2 linked regions of the Notamacropus eugenii genome follow. The protein of the gene in region 2 interacts with the protein of the main gene of each other region in a biochemical or structural test. Links are inferred from orthologs where the notes say so. Each region holds a gene or a part of one and is shown on either strand. Other genes may lie near its edges. The genes, in order: HDAC9 and PKD1.

Region 1 (8,057 bases), on a different chromosome or scaffold from region 2:
TTGGCCATTCTGCATGAGACCCTCTCTTCTCTGTCAGGGTGTGGGGGACAGGTTTCATCATCTGTCCCCTAAGAGAGCCAATGTTCCTGTTAGTTAGGACAGTCTTAGGGCCTGATCTTCAAACCTCTTAATGTATCCCTCAACACCCAGTACAGCTAGAAGACTAGGCACGCATCAGGCTCTGGGACTTACTAGTAATATTACTCAGCAAGTCACAAGTGCTCTGAGCTGCGTTTCCTCACCTGTAAAATGGGCACATTAGCACAGGCATCACCTACTCATCATACTGGAGCAGTCTGTCAGTCAGAAGTTTTCAAACTTGTGGTCTTAAAAATAAAGAAAGCTCCTCTCCTAAGAGCATTTACATCTACCGGCATTTTCTGAATTAGAAGTTAGAATGTCTTAACATCATTATGCAGGTAGTTTTAACTTTGTGGAGCCCCCAAAAGGGACCGTAGGAACTCCAGAGGTCTCCGACTCACCTTTTGAGAGGCCCCACTGTAAACCATCATATCCCGATGTAAAACCTCGGGAATACTTAACTCATAGTTATGTGGTGATCACACGAGATGGTAGCCGCAGTAACAACACCACAAACACACATATAGACCTTTTAAAGCTTGTACCCTTTTCTAACTGAGCCTGAAGGGGGGATACTGAGTGGAAGGTGTTATCCTGCCCATTGTATAGATAAGGAAAATGAGGCTCAGGAAGGTTAAGTGGCCTTTGTAATATTATACAAATCACAAGTGTCCAAGGTAGAATTTGAACTAAGATCTCCTAGACTTAAAGCTCAGCATGCAGCCCACCCTACCAAGCTGCCTTAAAAGATTATATCTCAATTATTAATGTGATTACCTTAATGGCTAAACTCACTCTTGTTAAATCGGAGCCCCCCTCCCTAAATCCCTTACTCTCCGCAAACAAACACACAGGGGCCTCCTCCCAGGCAATGCTGCTTAGTCTCAAAGACATTACTCATTGACCCACCAGCCTCTCTACAGTCTCAGGTCAAAATCTGACAACTCTGTCCATAGACGACCTTCCCCCAACTTCTTCATCAAGGACTGTTTACTTTGGCAAGAGCTCCTGTCTAAAGGATGCCTCAGGTGGGTGTCAACTGGTCATCTTCTAATTTAGATACCCATCATCTCACCCAGTGATCATTCCCATTCTTCAAAGGCATATAGATCCATTTTGAAACACTCCACCTCTAACTGCGAAGCCAAGAAACCAGGGAGAAAGAAATGGAATCCAAAGGCTGCCATTTCCCTAAGAACCTCCTTGTTCCCTATAGGTGATGCCACATCTCTGGCCTCTTGTCTTTTCTCAGACCGCTCTCCAGGTCTGGACCATACCCTGAGCTCTGCCTTTTCAGAATCCCCCTAACTCCTTCCTGGGGGATGGGATGCTCAAGCTCCATTTCTTATGGAGCCTCCTCAGAGAAGTTACTTCTCCCTCCCCCAACAAATTACATTGCATTGTGCACAAACATACACACACATGTCCAAACACACAGACACACATGATCACCTCCAGTAAAATATAAACTCTTTGAGAACAGGACCTATTTCTTTTTCATCTTTGAATCCCTAGAGACTAGCACAGTGTCTGGCATATAGTAGATGTCTAATAAATGCTTATTGAACTCAATTGGGCTGTCTTCCCACCCCCAGACTGGGGTCTGGGGAGGGGGTAGGAATCAGGAGCCATTAACCCATTAAGCCCTGCTTCCCAGAGTACCTTTCTCCAGGTGGCCCTGTTCCTAGAGTGGCACATGACTTCCACACACAGCTAGTCCTACCTCCTTAAACAAGAGGCAGTGTGCTATAATGAAGGAGGCTGGGCTTCAAGGCAGGAGAGATACAGACACACATAATTATGTAGCTTTGGGCATTGATATCATCACCTCAGCAAGCCTCAGTTTCTTCACCTGTAAAAGAGAGTTAATTTAATCTGTAACTTCTTCCTCAAAGGTTTATTGAAAGGAAAATGTCATGCAAATGTGAGTTACAATGATTAGAACAGCATGGACTTCAAGTCAAATAACCTGAGTTTAAATTTTGCCATTGTTACTTTCTACCTGTGTGGCTCTAGACAATTCACTTGACCTAAGCCTCTACTTCCTGCTTGGTAAAGTGAGAGCATGGGACAAGATGACCTCCAAGCTCCCTTCCAATTCTAGAGCCATAATGCTACCATCCTATGTTAACATAGCATGAATTCACATGAGTAACCAATTGGTTGTCATAGGAAACAATAAAACAAAATCTCCTCTCCTGGTGCCTCTATCCTAAGAGAGTCCCATTCTGCTCACAGATGGATGCTCCAATGGCTTTATGAAGAGTAGATCTGCAGTAGCCCTGCTGCCAATGAACGATGCTGAACCCCCTTTAGGAAGCCAGTTCTCTAAGCCAAAGAACAGCAGGGCAAGATAGCACAGTACAGTCTCTGAGAAATCCCGAGTTTGGTCTGGCGTCTTCTGATGGCTCTCATAGAGCTATGTGAGCTGAGAAGAAATCACTGGGGCTGTGCAAGGACAAGGACGAGGTCCTAGGTTGTGGAGAAGCAGCCTGGCAGAGGGGAGAGTCAAGAAGCCCAAGGTTGAACCTCCACCCCTGGCACTCAGCAGGTGGTGAGAGTACAGACTAACCTCCTCTCCAAGTTCCTGTTTCCTCATCTGCAAGTTGGCAATAATGAAGCATAAAGCACCCACCTCCCAATGGCATTGTAGGAATCAAATGAGACCACATGCAAAGTAAACAGAGTTGGACCCCACCTATGGGCAATGCTGCTGTGAGGGGGTAGGGAGGGAGCATTTTAGAGAGACGGCTTCTAAGGCAGGGATTCCTGGGGGCAGGTTGTGCCTCTAACACTTACCTGCCAAATCACCTGATCTCTCAGTGCCCCAGGCAACTTTCTAGGATGAACAGGTGCTGATCTCCATCAGGGGAGGGAGTGTCTGCACCAAGACTTCCTTAGACTGATGGCATCCCAAATAAGTCAGCTGACATTATGATGTCATAGTGTGGTTCATAGCTACTGACCTGATGAGAGCCACATGACATGAATCAATTCCAGCATGCCTTGAACAAGTGACTCTATTTGTCTTGAATCTCTTTGTATTGTTTCCCCTCGTGAAATGTCAGGTCCTTGAGGACAAGGGACTATTTCATTTTCCTCTGCTTCTCCAGAGCCTATCACACTCGCTGGTACCTGGCATGCCTTTAGTAAATGCTTGATTAACCTTTTTAAAAATCCACTAAAATAACCCTTTGATGCCTCATCATGGCAAGAGGGAAACCATGGGAGCTCCCTAGCTAGGCTGGCAAAGTGCCTGGCCAGGGGGAAAGGCTGCAGTTGTGGGACCAGGGATATCCAGCCTGGCTAAGGTCAGGGGGCCCATCCCCACACTGCTCATAGCCATTCTCCTAACTTACATATTCAGCAATGCCCAAGTTGTGACATACCTCTGGAGAGGGAAGACCTTCCCTTCCCTTTGGGAGACAACATCCCAGCAACCTCTGCTGATGCCACAATATAGACTTTTCTCAACAATACAGTTTACCAGGATTAGGGGGTCAAGAGTAACCAAAAGGACCCAGGACCTGGTATAGCGCCTGCTGCCATCATGTATTCCATTGGAAGAGGATTGGTCTACCACCAGGCCCCAGGCCTGGATGGAAAGAAGAGCTGACAGAATCAGCTTCTCCCCCAGCCCCTACCCCAGAAGTCTTTCCATAACCCTATCTTGCATAAGGGCACAGATGAAGATTTGCCATCACAAATGAGGAGTAAACAAGGGATAGTGTGGAGAGAGCCATAGGCACATTGAGTTTGAGATGGGGAAGGGACCTCAGTAGCCAGCCAGTCCAACCTGGAGCCCACTCTACTATACCTGAGAGATGGGTTTCCAGCTTCCCCTAGAAACCCTCCAAAAAGGGAGGTGGACCATCTCACTGAGGGCCTGCTTCCTTTCTTAGGAAGGTTTTCCTTCAGCTTCAACTGGCCTCTTGGTGACAAAAGGTCTCAAGTTCGTGAAACATATTTGGACAAATTGAGGAAACTGGGTCTATTTAGACTGGAGAAGAGAAAACTTAGTAGAGACCAGGGAGCTACCTTCAAATCTCTCAAGGGCTGTCGTGTGAAAGAGGAATTAGACTCATCATTTTAGACAGAAATTGTCTGAAACAGAGAAGATCCTTTAAACATGCCTGTGAAATTGAACCAAAAGTAGAATAAAGTTGTATAAAGTAGAAGAGGCCACCTCAAAGCTGGCCCCTCAAAATAAGCTGGTCTAATGAAAATCTATCCTCTCTCATTAAAGGTGTTAATGTTGTCCTTGACCTGATTCCTTCCAGAAGATGAAAGGTACTTACATATCCTAGGGATACGCTTCTGCCTTTAAAAAAGCAGACATGAATATCTTTACAGACTTCTACACACCTGGGGTCAAGAAGAGAGAATTTGAGAAAATGTTCCCCTCATTTCTATGAATCTTTAATTATGCATCACATTCTTAAATGTTATCACCTGACATTTAAAATCTTATTCTCCTGAACACCTTTGGCAAGTCTATGTTTCCTCATTTTATGCCTCACTTGATGTAAATGATCAGAGGATCTAACCAGGTTATTTCTGTTGTTAGAGCTTTCAGAGAATTTTTTGTAATTAAAAGGAATTGCCCCCAGAGGGCAATGGGGAGGCATATGGTGGGTGTGAGCAGGCTGCCACACATTACAAATAAAAAAATTACAAAAAAGGTTGGAATAGAGGATGTCGTGCAAGGAGCCATTATTCAGAAAGTTCTTACTTAGCACAGTGCCTGGCACATAGTAGGCATTTCATAAAATGTTTGTGCAGAAGTAGGTGACTGACAGAGAGAACCCCCAGTGTGCAGCCTGCATGCCTCCCTGCTGCCTTCAGGAAGTCAGGAGAATTCAGGGAAGATTCTCGGACTTCCTGCTGGGGTGGGGGCTCCCCCTGTGGCCCACTTATAAGAGGATATGAACAAGAGGCATGTGGAATGGGCAGTCATGGATGGTTTGCAATTTGCACCATGGGAGGGAACTCCCAAATTGGTGAGATCACAGCCCCAGGGAAGCATTTCTTTAAACCGTTTTCCTATAACCTCGAAAAGAATCAGAAGCTTTTCCATCAATCACCTGCAATTGCCTCCCTCAGTTGCACTAAAATGAGCATTAACTCACCTTGGGAAACAAGGTTCTCCCCATGCCTCACTCATGTCTAACTCACTGTCCCATGAAAGCTGGGCTTCCAGAGTTCCCAAGATGAAGAGGGCTCTGCCATGGCCTCTTGGCTCTACAGAAATACTATGTTTACCCTAATCCAGATGGAAGAAACCTATTTGCTACATTCCTGGAAGTGGAAGGGAAATCAGAAGCTGCCTAGTCTTGAATAAGAATCCCCTCTAAAAGATAACCAATGGGTCTTCCAGCCTTTGCTTGAAGGCCTTCAAAGAGAGGATCTCCACCATTTTTTGAAGTAGCCCGTTCCACTTTGGGACAGTGCTCATTGTCAGGGATTTTTTGTCTCTTTATTACTTCCACCCATCGCTCCTCATTCTGGTTCTCTGAGGTCAATCAGAACTAAGCGAAATTCTCCCTCACATGATAAACCTCCCAATACTTAGACTAATTCATAAGAATTTATTGAGCACTCATTATTGGCTACACCATATTAGGAGATAAAGGTACAAAGATGACCCTTACGGAACGTTTTGTTGTCTTCAGAGAGACCAAAGGCAGCCACCATCCCCAGCCCCTCCCAAAGGCTTTTCTTCTGTAGACCAACCATCCCCAGTTCCTTCTGGTGCTCCTTCTATCAATCAGTTTTCTCCATGACTACATGTTACTCATGGAGAATTTTCAGATTTATGACAGGATGGTAGTAAAAATTCTATTCTAGTCTCAAAGACACAACTTTCAAATTTTGTTTTTCCATTTCCTATATTAAGATCCTTCAAATTAAAATATGTATAAAACCAAATGGTACAATTGCCTTTGTTGATAACTGGAACATTTTTATTGATAAGGAACCTTAAAGGAAGGCTCCTTGGACGTGTCTACAGTCATAGTTACATAAACATACTCAGCCTCTGGCTGTCAGCGAGAAATAAACCTTCTTGATTTTTATCTTGAAAAACTGTCACATGCTCAGCAATATGAAAGAAATGCTCAGCTATTATGCTTAATTAGAAGTGTTTTTCCCAGAATTGCAGAAAATGAGAAATATTGTGTGGCCAATTATCTAAACATAAAGAGAAATGATTTCACCGACACAATACTTGGGATCTGTACAGTTTCCATATTTGAGCTTATTTGAAAAAAATGAACAATAAGAGATTTGATGAAATCTGGCTATGTTGGAGGGGGGGAGTTAAGTTGAGGGAAAAGGATAATCTAGCACAATTTACGCATTTTGAATTTGGACAAAATACATGGGTGGGGGTGGGGAGTAAGTCTAAGGAGAAAAGGATGCAATCTTTCTGCCTTTCCCACTGTCTCATTGACTTTCCATTAAAAGTTTCTTTTCTTTCCACATGGCTTATTTCCATCTCCTTGTCTAAAGTCTCCACTCTGGTCATCAGCTCCAGTCATGATCCCATTATTTTTCCAGTGGACAATAACCTAATTCCACTATCTCTTCTAACTATTGGGTCCAGGGAAGAGAAAGAATTGGACAAGTGAAGCTTCTGATTAGAAGAGGGCAGTGAGATGGGACAGACCCCTTGCCTGCCACAAATGGGAGCCAGATAACTCAGATTCAGTGATGTGAGATGGAAAAGAAGTTAGGGCCAAAGAGATAAGTATCTCTTCACTTGTGACCAGAGCCTGGGCAGCTGAGCCAGGGGGCAGCATTGGCCTCCATTTGGTGTATTACATCCATCTCCATGTCTCATGGTATAACAAATCCCAGATACTAGGTTCCTACATCTTTAAATACTGCCCTATTGAAAGCACGAGGCAAAGATGTAGTAAGGAGCTGGCCATTTTGTCTAAACTCCCTTGCCTCCTCTCAGGAGAAATGGTCATGGGGACCTAAAGAAATCCAAAGTGTTTTCTTCTTCCAATTCCTAGGTTTAGAGAGGTTTATGTACCATCTGGGACCATCAGGGTCTAGGACGCTGATAAGCATCTATATACCCAGGAGATTTCTTTTTATTATTTACTGTTCATTGTTTTTATTTTTCCAATACTAAAAAGTAAGCGTTGTGTATACTCTCCAAGAACGGCTATCTGGTTCTCTGGGGATCCATTTCCAATACACCAAGGTCATGTAAAACAGCAAATTCAGGGAAGAGAGAGAGTTTGCCAGAGACAAGAGCTTGAGAACTGATTCTGATTGGGTAAATCTACAAGAGACCACACCTCCTAGAGGAAGAGTTTTTAAATCTCTTCTGTGTTTTGGATGACTCTGATGGTTGGGTAAAACCAGAATGACCAGAGAACCAGTCTTTCTCTGAATCTTGTTTTTAAATGGTTAAAGTTAGTGGTTAGAGGTTAGTGAAAATAAAGACGTAATTTCTTTTCCCCCTTCCAAGTTCATGGTCCCTCTAAATCCATCCGTGACTCCTAGGAGATCTATTTAACTCTTGCCCTAGAAAGAGAGAGTCATGTTGCTCCTCAAAGGGAGATAGGGAGGAAGGATAAAATGTTGACCCTTGTCTGTGAACAATAGGGAATCTAGCACTTCCAACCAATGAGATATGCATGGATACACATGATGATGAGGGTGACTGTGGCATATCCAGGTTCAGATCCTCCTCAATGGGTCCAAGACAGTGACGATCAACCACTTGGGGATTAACTGAGCATAAGACAGAATGGAGAGGCAACCTGGCAGAACAGAGAGAAGATCAGCCTTGCAGTCAGAAGACCTAAGTTCAGGTACTGCCCAGTGCCACAATAGCCCTGTGACCTTGGACAAGGCAGTAACTCTTCAATGCCCACAAGCCATAAAGACTCTAAATGGTAGCATGGGTCAATCGCTATTAATGAATGAACTTTCTAAGGGCATCAGTGGCTGCCCCCAAT
Region 2 (8,030 bases):
TATCCTGCCCCTCATTTCTTCTCTTCTCTCTCTTGACCTTATCTCTCCCCAAAAGTGTTTACTTCTCATTACCTCCCTCCTTGCATTTGCCCTCCCTTCTATCATCCCCCCACACCCCACTTATCCCCTTCAACCCTGCTTTCCTGTAGTGTAAGATAGCCTGCATTTATTTCTGAGGCAGTTAGGTGTGCAGTGGCTGGAGTGTTGGACTTGGAGTGGGGAAGACTTGAGTTCAAATCCTGTGTCAGACACTAGCTTTATGATCCATGGTAAGTCATTCAGCTTGTTCCTCAGCCTCAGTTTCCTCATCTGTAAAGTGGGAATAAAAATAGCATCTACTTTGTTGCCTGGTTATGAGGCTGAAATGAGATAACCTACGGAAAGTACTTTGTCAGCCTTGAAGCACAATACATATACTAGTCATCATAAATGCATTCTTCTCTTTACTCCCTTACCTGTACTTTGTACCAGCATTTTTGAGGTTAAGTAAAACCAGACTAGAAGTCAACTATTTGACAACATCTGTAATATTGTATACCCCTGGTTTCCCATCTCTCCAGCTGAATGAGGGAGATTCCCTTCATTTCAGTGAAAAGTTGTATTTAACCTTAACATGTTTCCATTGATCATAGTGGGCAGAAATATTCCTACCAAGCCTGAGGGTCTGACGACCTCTAAGACACTCCAGAAAGAGAGCCAATGGATGAGATCAAAGCCCTAACTCAACATTTTTCCACCTGGGGTAAGTGGGAGTAGTGGGAGGCTCACTTGGGATGTGGCAGGGGGAGGAACCCATATGATTTCTATGCTGCTGAAGGGCTGGATAGGGTTAGAGAGGAGGCTTCAGATGATATTGCTGGAGTTTCTAGGTTGTTGAAGGGGCAGAAAGTATGTTTTGGAATAAGACTGCAAGCCATTACCAAGGGGGCATGAGGCTAGAGTCAGGAGGAGACTTGTGGGCTGACACTACTCCCTGAGTGGGAGGAATGGAGGAGAAGCTGTCAGCACCCTCTAAATTTCTCACCCCACAGCAAAACCCCAGGAACTCCATCTTAGTTACAGCTTTGGGTAAGACAAACAGTTTAAATGGGACTCAAAACTTTAACAAACCAATAGCTTATTAGGTAAAACACATAAATAACAGTAATATGAAATACATATGAATAGATAAGAGGTACAGTCAAAACATTACATTTTCATGGCTAAGGTGGAGGGAAGGAAAAATCAAAGAAGGCTTCCTAGAAGAGGTAGCATTTGGCCTGGATGTATGGAAATATCAGTGAGAATGAGGAAAGAGGCGTCCCTCAGCATCACTAAGCTAGCTTATGGTGACTGACTCAACTTTCTCCTATTTTGCTTTGTCTGCTTGGAGTGACAAAACGGAGTAGGATGGAGTGGCCTTCATAATTAACTGGAAGTTCTTCTTAACCTTTTTGAGGAGGGCAGGGCTAGTGTAATTTAGCTGGGTGCCCATCTATTTCTCAGTGCCCCTGCTGCCCTCCTTCTGCTGCCCTCCTTTATGCCAACCCTCCCAGCTAAGGCCCCTCAGGCTGCCCCTATTCTATGTAAGGTGTCTCGTTCCCACATTCTTCTGTTCTTCTTGTTATCCTCCTCCTCCTCCTCCTCCTCCTCCTGGTCCTCCTGGTCCTCCTTCTCTTCCTGCTCCTTCTCCTCCTTCTTCTCCTCCTCCTCCTCCTCTTCCTTCTTCTTCTTCTTCTTCTTCTTCTTCTCCTTCTTCTTCTCCTTCTTTTTCCTTTTACTTTTTCCTGCCCTTCCCAACCCGAGTCAAAGAAAGGTGTTTGGTGATGGGGATGACAGCTGGTCTGAGCTGCTGGTATTGAGCAGTGACTCAGTGAGTCAGCATGTGCAAAAAAGAAATTATTTAGTTAGCTGGTGTCAGAAAAAAGAAAAGAAAAAAGGCCAGAGGCATATTCAGAGTATTCTAAAAAAGCCTTAGTGCAGCTTTAAGAAATATGTATAAATGAAATATATGAAATGTATACACATATATTTATGTGTGTGTGTATATATATACATACACACACACATACACATACATATATACATACACTCAGTTACAGTAACCCTTTTCCTTTCAAGAATACCTTTGTTAATTTTTTCTTTTTAATATTTTTTAATTGCATATAAAGACAATTTTGAACACTTATTTTTAAAAATATTGTTTCAAAATATGTTTAACATGATTGTACATGTATAATCCATATCAAATTGCATGTCAGCTTGGGGAGGGAGGATGGGAAGGAGGGAGAAAAACTTGGAACACAAAATCTTATAAAAAAATGAATGCTGGAATCTATCTTTGCATGTAATTGGAAAAAATAAAATACTATTTACTAAAAAAATTTTTTAAAAAACTTTTGAGTTCCAAATTTTCTCTCCTTTCCTCTCCCCTGACTGAGACAGTAAGTAGTTTGTTAGAGGTTATGCATGTTTGCTATTCATTCTAATTGGATTTCACATACACACACATATGAAAACAGAGTGTGAGTTACTAAAGCCCCAAACCTCCCTAGGGATGACTGTCCATTTCCTCTAATCCTCAGCCGACTCCTTGTGCCCAGCCAGAACTTCATTTAGATGTTAAGAGGAAACAGCCTCATTAAGTTTATCTCATGGTTGACATTTCAGTAAATGCAGTAGGAGCTTTCCTTTAAATTATACCTGTCCTTCCACCTACACATAAAGATGAGCTCCGGAGAAATGACCATTTGTGCTTCCTGTCATGAACAGGTCCTGTTCCAAACACGTCTTCAAAAGGAACATGGTGAAGTAAAAAGGACATCCCGTTAGGAGTCAAAGAACCTGAGTTGGAATCCTGCTTCTGCTTAGTCACCGGTGTGACTCTGGGCAAGTCTCTTCTGAACCTCAGTAGGCCTCAGTTTGAGTCATATGTAAAAGGAGGTACTTATACAAGATGACCTCTGACAGGTCTTCCAACTCTAGGCTCATTCTACCCCAGGGAAGCCCCCTGTGCCACTTAGTACATCCTTCCCAGTCGAACAGAAATCTTGGCTGTGGCAGCGTAAAATGCCAATTCACATAAATTGCTTAGTTGGGTGTCCTTAAATAAGTCACTTACCCTCTCTGAAACTCCATTTTATCATTTGTAAAATGGAATTGAATCTCTTGAAGGTTTCTTCTAGCTCCAAACTTCCATGATTCTTTTTAAAACACGAAGTAGCATAACCCTGGTTATGAGTTAGGTGTGTCATCTTTAACTCCTCCCTTCCCACACTGTCACCTGGTACTGATGAGTCTTTCTCTGAAATGTTTGTCCTATCCAGCCCTTCTTTTCCATTCCCATCTCCCTAGGAAACATCCCTTACAGCTAAAGGCCAGCAAAATTCAACAAGCATTTATTGTGTCTAACGAGTGAATTGGGAGTGATACAAGGATAAACACTAATCTGTGCCTTCCCTCTGGGAGCTCTTGTTGACGTCTCCCTTTTTTGAGCTCTCACAACACTGTGGACAATTAATGAGGACCTGACTCACAAGGCTCAACTGAGGCTCAGATGAGAATGTATAGTAAACCGTTAACAGCCTTATAAAAGTGCCACTTATTTTCATTATCACAGTATTGTCGTTTAGATATTTCATCAGTGTTTGTCGCTGACTCTCCAATGAGACTGCAGTTTCCGCAGGAACTGTACTTTGTGTTCGTAGGTTCACACACTCCGAGCTGGAAGGGTCTCGGAGGCCATTTAGTCCAAGTCCTGTTTTTGTAGATGAGGTAACGGGAGCTCACAGACATGACTTGCAGGGAGTGGGGAATCGAGGATTTGAATCAACTTCTTCTGAAGTTAGAGTCTCAGGACAAAGTTGCCTCCAAGATGCGGCTTGTTTCAGGGCTAAGCACAATGAATATCCTCTTGTGAATGTTTCCTGGAGCCAGAACTTGGGCTCCTTGAGGGCAGGGAATATTTTAATTTTTGTCTTTCTACCCTGGGTTCCTAGGAGGTGTTTCAAAATACTGGCAAACAAATAAAGGTTTTTGCGATTCTTGGAGAGGTTTGGACTGTATTTGGGGTCCAGGTGAAATCAGGGAAGGGTGTGGAGGTCGCTGAGCCCAGGGACAGTCGTGCTCAGAGACCCCTGCTCCTAGTCAGGGTAGGAGGAGGGTCCTGCGGCCGATCCCTGCCCTCAGAGCCCTAGGGCCCCATCCCAGGCAGGGCTGCATCCCTGTGGCCCAGAAAGCAGGGCGCGGGTACCCGAGGCGTCCCTTTCTCGGGGACAGGGACAGCTCGGGCAGGTTCCTGAGCCCAGGCCCCTGGAACACACGGGGCCATAAGGCACCAAGCTCCTTCCTTCCCTCGGCGGGAGCCCGGGAAGCCGGGAGCGCCGGGGCCGGGGCCCCCGAACCGCACCGCAGGGTCAGCCTGGGCGGCGAGGGTGGGCCCGGCCGGGCGCGGAGCCGACGCTGGCCCGAGAGGCGGAGGCGAAGGCGGCGGCGGCGGCGGCGGAGGGAGGCGGAGGCTTGGCTAGGTCCCCTCCTCCGGCCCGGCTCAGGGAGGAGCCCTAGCGACCCCGGCCCGGCACTGCACAGCGAGCGCGGCCTGGCCCAGGCGACGGCGGCAGCCGAGCCGGGAAGGAAGAGGTCGAGCCCGCCGCCGCACTCGCTGCCGCCGCCGTCCGTCCGCGCCGCTCTCCCCGCCGCCCGGCCCATGCAGCCCGGGAGCCCGGCGTGAGCGCTCCGGCCGGGCCTGGCTCCGGCTCCGGCTCCGGCTCCGGCTCTGGCTCCGGCCGCGGCTGCTGCTGCGGCTGCGGGGCGGCGGCCGCCGGGCTGGGCCGGGCCGGGCCAGGCCGGGGCCATGCGCAGGGTGCACTGAGCGATGCCGCGGGGACAGGGGCCGCCGCTCGCAGCCCCCTCCCCGCACGGTCATGGCGGCCCCCGGCCGCCCCCTGCTCCCGCGCCCGCCCCCGCCCGCCTCGCTTTCTGCCTTTGCCTGGGTCTCTGCCTCGGGGGCCTCTCCGCCGCCCCAGACCCGGGCTGCCAACCCTGCGGCCTTGAGTGCGATTGCACCCCGGGGCCCGGCGGTGCCTGCAGCGTCAACTGCTCCGGCCGCGGCTTGCGGGGGCTTGGGCCCGAGCTGCCCATCCCTCCCGACGTGACTTCGCTGTGAGTAACCGTTCCCCGCTCGCTCCGGCTTCTGGTCCGGCTCCAGCACCATCCTCAGCCCCTTGGCCTCCCTCTTCTCCACCTCCCTCCAGACCCCCAGCTCCTCCGGACCCCCCTCCACGCACAGCCTCTGCGACCCCCACCCCAGCGCTATCTGTGTTGTGATGCCCGGGACGGAAGTGGCACATCCCAGATGTCTGGGTTCACGTGGAGGTGGGGCACCCTTGCTGGGTGACACATCGTGGCTGCCTTGGGACAGGTTACAGTGTTTCAACAGGAGGTTACAGTGTTTCTACTTAGAGAGACTTTCGACTTGGAGATAGGAGGGTCTGGCTATTGCCCCCCTTCTCTTTTGGGGCACAGACCCACCCATAGGGAAGCTGTAAGCAATCTTGGAGGAGCAAGCAGATTGGGGATCTGGGTACCAGGGACCATCTCTGTACCAGTTGGCCCAGGGTAAGGGGGCCTACTCTCCCCTTCTTTCACTGCACTTTTCCCTGTTTTTTGCCAACTGGTCTTTGGCTGGAGATGCTGGCAGTGCTGTTGCCATGGCTTTGGGCCTGGAGGAAGGCAAGGGGGTGGGGAAGGACGGGGAGAACTGACTGAAAAAGTTGTGGGTAAGGCCTGACCATCTCTAAGCAGCAGGCCCGAATTCTGGTTCTGTGTTTGGTCCATGAAGGCCAAGAGAATGTTTGGTCTCCATGTACACTCCCGCTGTCTTCCCAACTTTCCCAGAGATCTAGATACAACCCCAGACAGAAACATACACACTTTGACAGCTGAACCTACATATCTATCTCCCTTCCTTACTTGGCTTGGCCATAGATATGTGGGATTTAGCATGGTTTTTTTGGGTGGAATTTTTGCAACGGTGTTTGGAAGATGGGGAATGTGTATGTTTGGCGCACTTAGATGGCAAAGACGTTATCACTAATCTGAAATGTATTTGGGCTTGCCCTGAAGTTAAGGGGGTCAAACCCCCACAAAATTCCGTTGGCACTCTTTGTCCCAGCCATCCTCTGTAGTTCACCCTGTAAAAGTGAAATTGTTATTATTTCTCTCCTAGATGGGGAGCAGGAGCTTGCCTGGCTTTGCTGTGGACAAAAAATGATGCATGTTAGAACAATGAAAACTTAGAACCATGTTTCAACTAAAGTTCAAACGTCTTTGCAGTAGAGAAGGAAACTCACAAGTCTTGCTGGGTGGAATTGGAGGAGAGAGGCCAATCTAGCATTCTGTCTAGGACTGCTCAGAACTGACTTTTCCCAAATTAGGAGATGTTTTGAGGGGGTTGTTTTAATCATTGTTGAATTGCTTCACTTGAACAACTGTCTGGTTCCTAACACCTTCCCAATTTTCAAGGTTAGGATGGTTTTGCTGTTCATGTCTCTAGTCACTTAGGAGTGTAAACTGTCCATTTGGATCCCTAGTGCCTTCTTTGAATTATGAGTCCCCAAGTCTAACATTCCCCCAGGATTCAGCCCTAGTGTCTAATGATCAGTTCTCTAGAGGTATGAGTCCAATATTCATGAGAATTATCTGTTCTGCTGCTTGAGAGATAACTCAAAGTATACTCCCTAGGATTCCTGCATCTAGATCAGTCTCATGTCTGGTGTGCCCTGGGGCCTGGAAGAGTGGCAGGTTTATCACCATTTGGCATATTTTTCATTATTTAATTATGCATTGTGTAATAGTTATTATGTACCAATTATTTGCTTATCGAATTGAGTTGTTTGCCTAACAATCACTATGTTGAGTAAAACTCATACGTACAGTTAAAAAAAAAGCCAGACCCCTGTGGCAGTGCTTAGGAGGAAATAGTTGGACATCTACCTGAAAAGGAGGCCAAGAAGGAAAAAAAATCTGCATACCTCACCTCTCTGTTATTGTCCATAGGAGCTTACATTTGTAGTTGGAAAGACTTTAGGCCAGAGGGATCAAGCTCAGGTCTGCAGGCTGCATACGTCTGGCCCCCCAAACTCGGCAGTGTGGCCTGAACCAGATTAAAATGTAACTAGGAAATGTTTAGCAAAATAAATAAAAATACAATAAAGATAATGTTTATTTATGGTTTTCTAAGTCAATATGTGGCTTTCAGGGACCTGCCTCTACTTTATTTGACTTTGATACTGCTTTAGGTTTTAGTGTCATTTTAGAAATGAGGAGACTGAGGCCCAGAGAAATTAGCTGGTGTGCACTGGGGTCTAGAAGAGTAGCAGGTTTATCACCATTTGGCATATTTTTCATTATTTTATTATGCATTGTGTAGTCGTTATTATGTACTGATCATGGAGAGTCACTGATGTAGTAAGTGATAGAGCTAACATTTGAATTCAGGACCACTGATTCCAAATCCTGGTAATAATGAGACAGATAATCTAGAAATCATTTTTGAATTTGGAATAAGTTGTGATATTTTGGAGCAGATGGACATTATGGAAACATTGTAGTGCAGTGTTTAAAATGAGCTTAAATGTTTTGAAAGCAAATGATCATGGTGTCAGGTGACCTAGAAGTATTCTGAGTAATGGAAGGTGACCTGGGACTCAACAATTGTTGTGACAAGCTACATGTGAATAACCATGAGTTGTTTGCATCAAGAAAAATACTTTCACTTTCTGGACGTTGGGAGAGAAAGTAGGATCCAAATCCCCCCTGTGCTTCAAGACTTAGAGCAAATAGTTCTTCCTTTCTAGACTACTCTCTGGCAGAGAGTCCCTTGTGATATTATTTCTACCAAAAACATGGTTGCTTTAAATTGTTATTACCCTCTGATATCATTTATCTTCGTACATATTTACGTCTTTCTTCCTAACTAGATTAGAAATTCCTTGAGGGAAGGTAATATCTCTTATTCTTCTTTGTGTCACCCAGAGCATTAAAATTAAGGA

Evidence for each region.
Region 1: the proteins of PKD1 (region 2) and HDAC9 form a complex in vitro, tested with the Homo sapiens proteins (2 studies listed by BioGRID, with this or other methods). The link is inferred for Notamacropus eugenii from reciprocal best matches to the Homo sapiens genes PKD1 and HDAC9.

What each region holds. Positions count from the first base shown.
Region 1 is NC_092874.1:10,742,153-10,750,209, reverse strand, and holds the start of HDAC9 (histone deacetylase 9), read right to left. Parts: upstream 3,042-8,057; 5' UTR 2,881-3,041; intron 1,934-2,880; 5' UTR 1,744-1,933; intron 1-1,743. UniProt on the Homo sapiens protein: Responsible for the deacetylation of lysine residues on the N-terminal part of the core histones (H2A, H2B, H3 and H4).
Region 2 is NC_092872.1:48,002,034-48,010,063, forward strand, and holds the start of PKD1 (polycystin-1), read left to right. Parts: upstream 1-4,837; 5' UTR 4,838-4,852; coding exon 4,853-5,139; intron 5,140-8,030. UniProt on the Homo sapiens protein: Component of a heteromeric calcium-permeable ion channel formed by PKD1 and PKD2 that is activated by interaction between PKD1 and a Wnt family member, such as WNT3A and WNT9B. Both PKD1 and PKD2 are required for channel activity.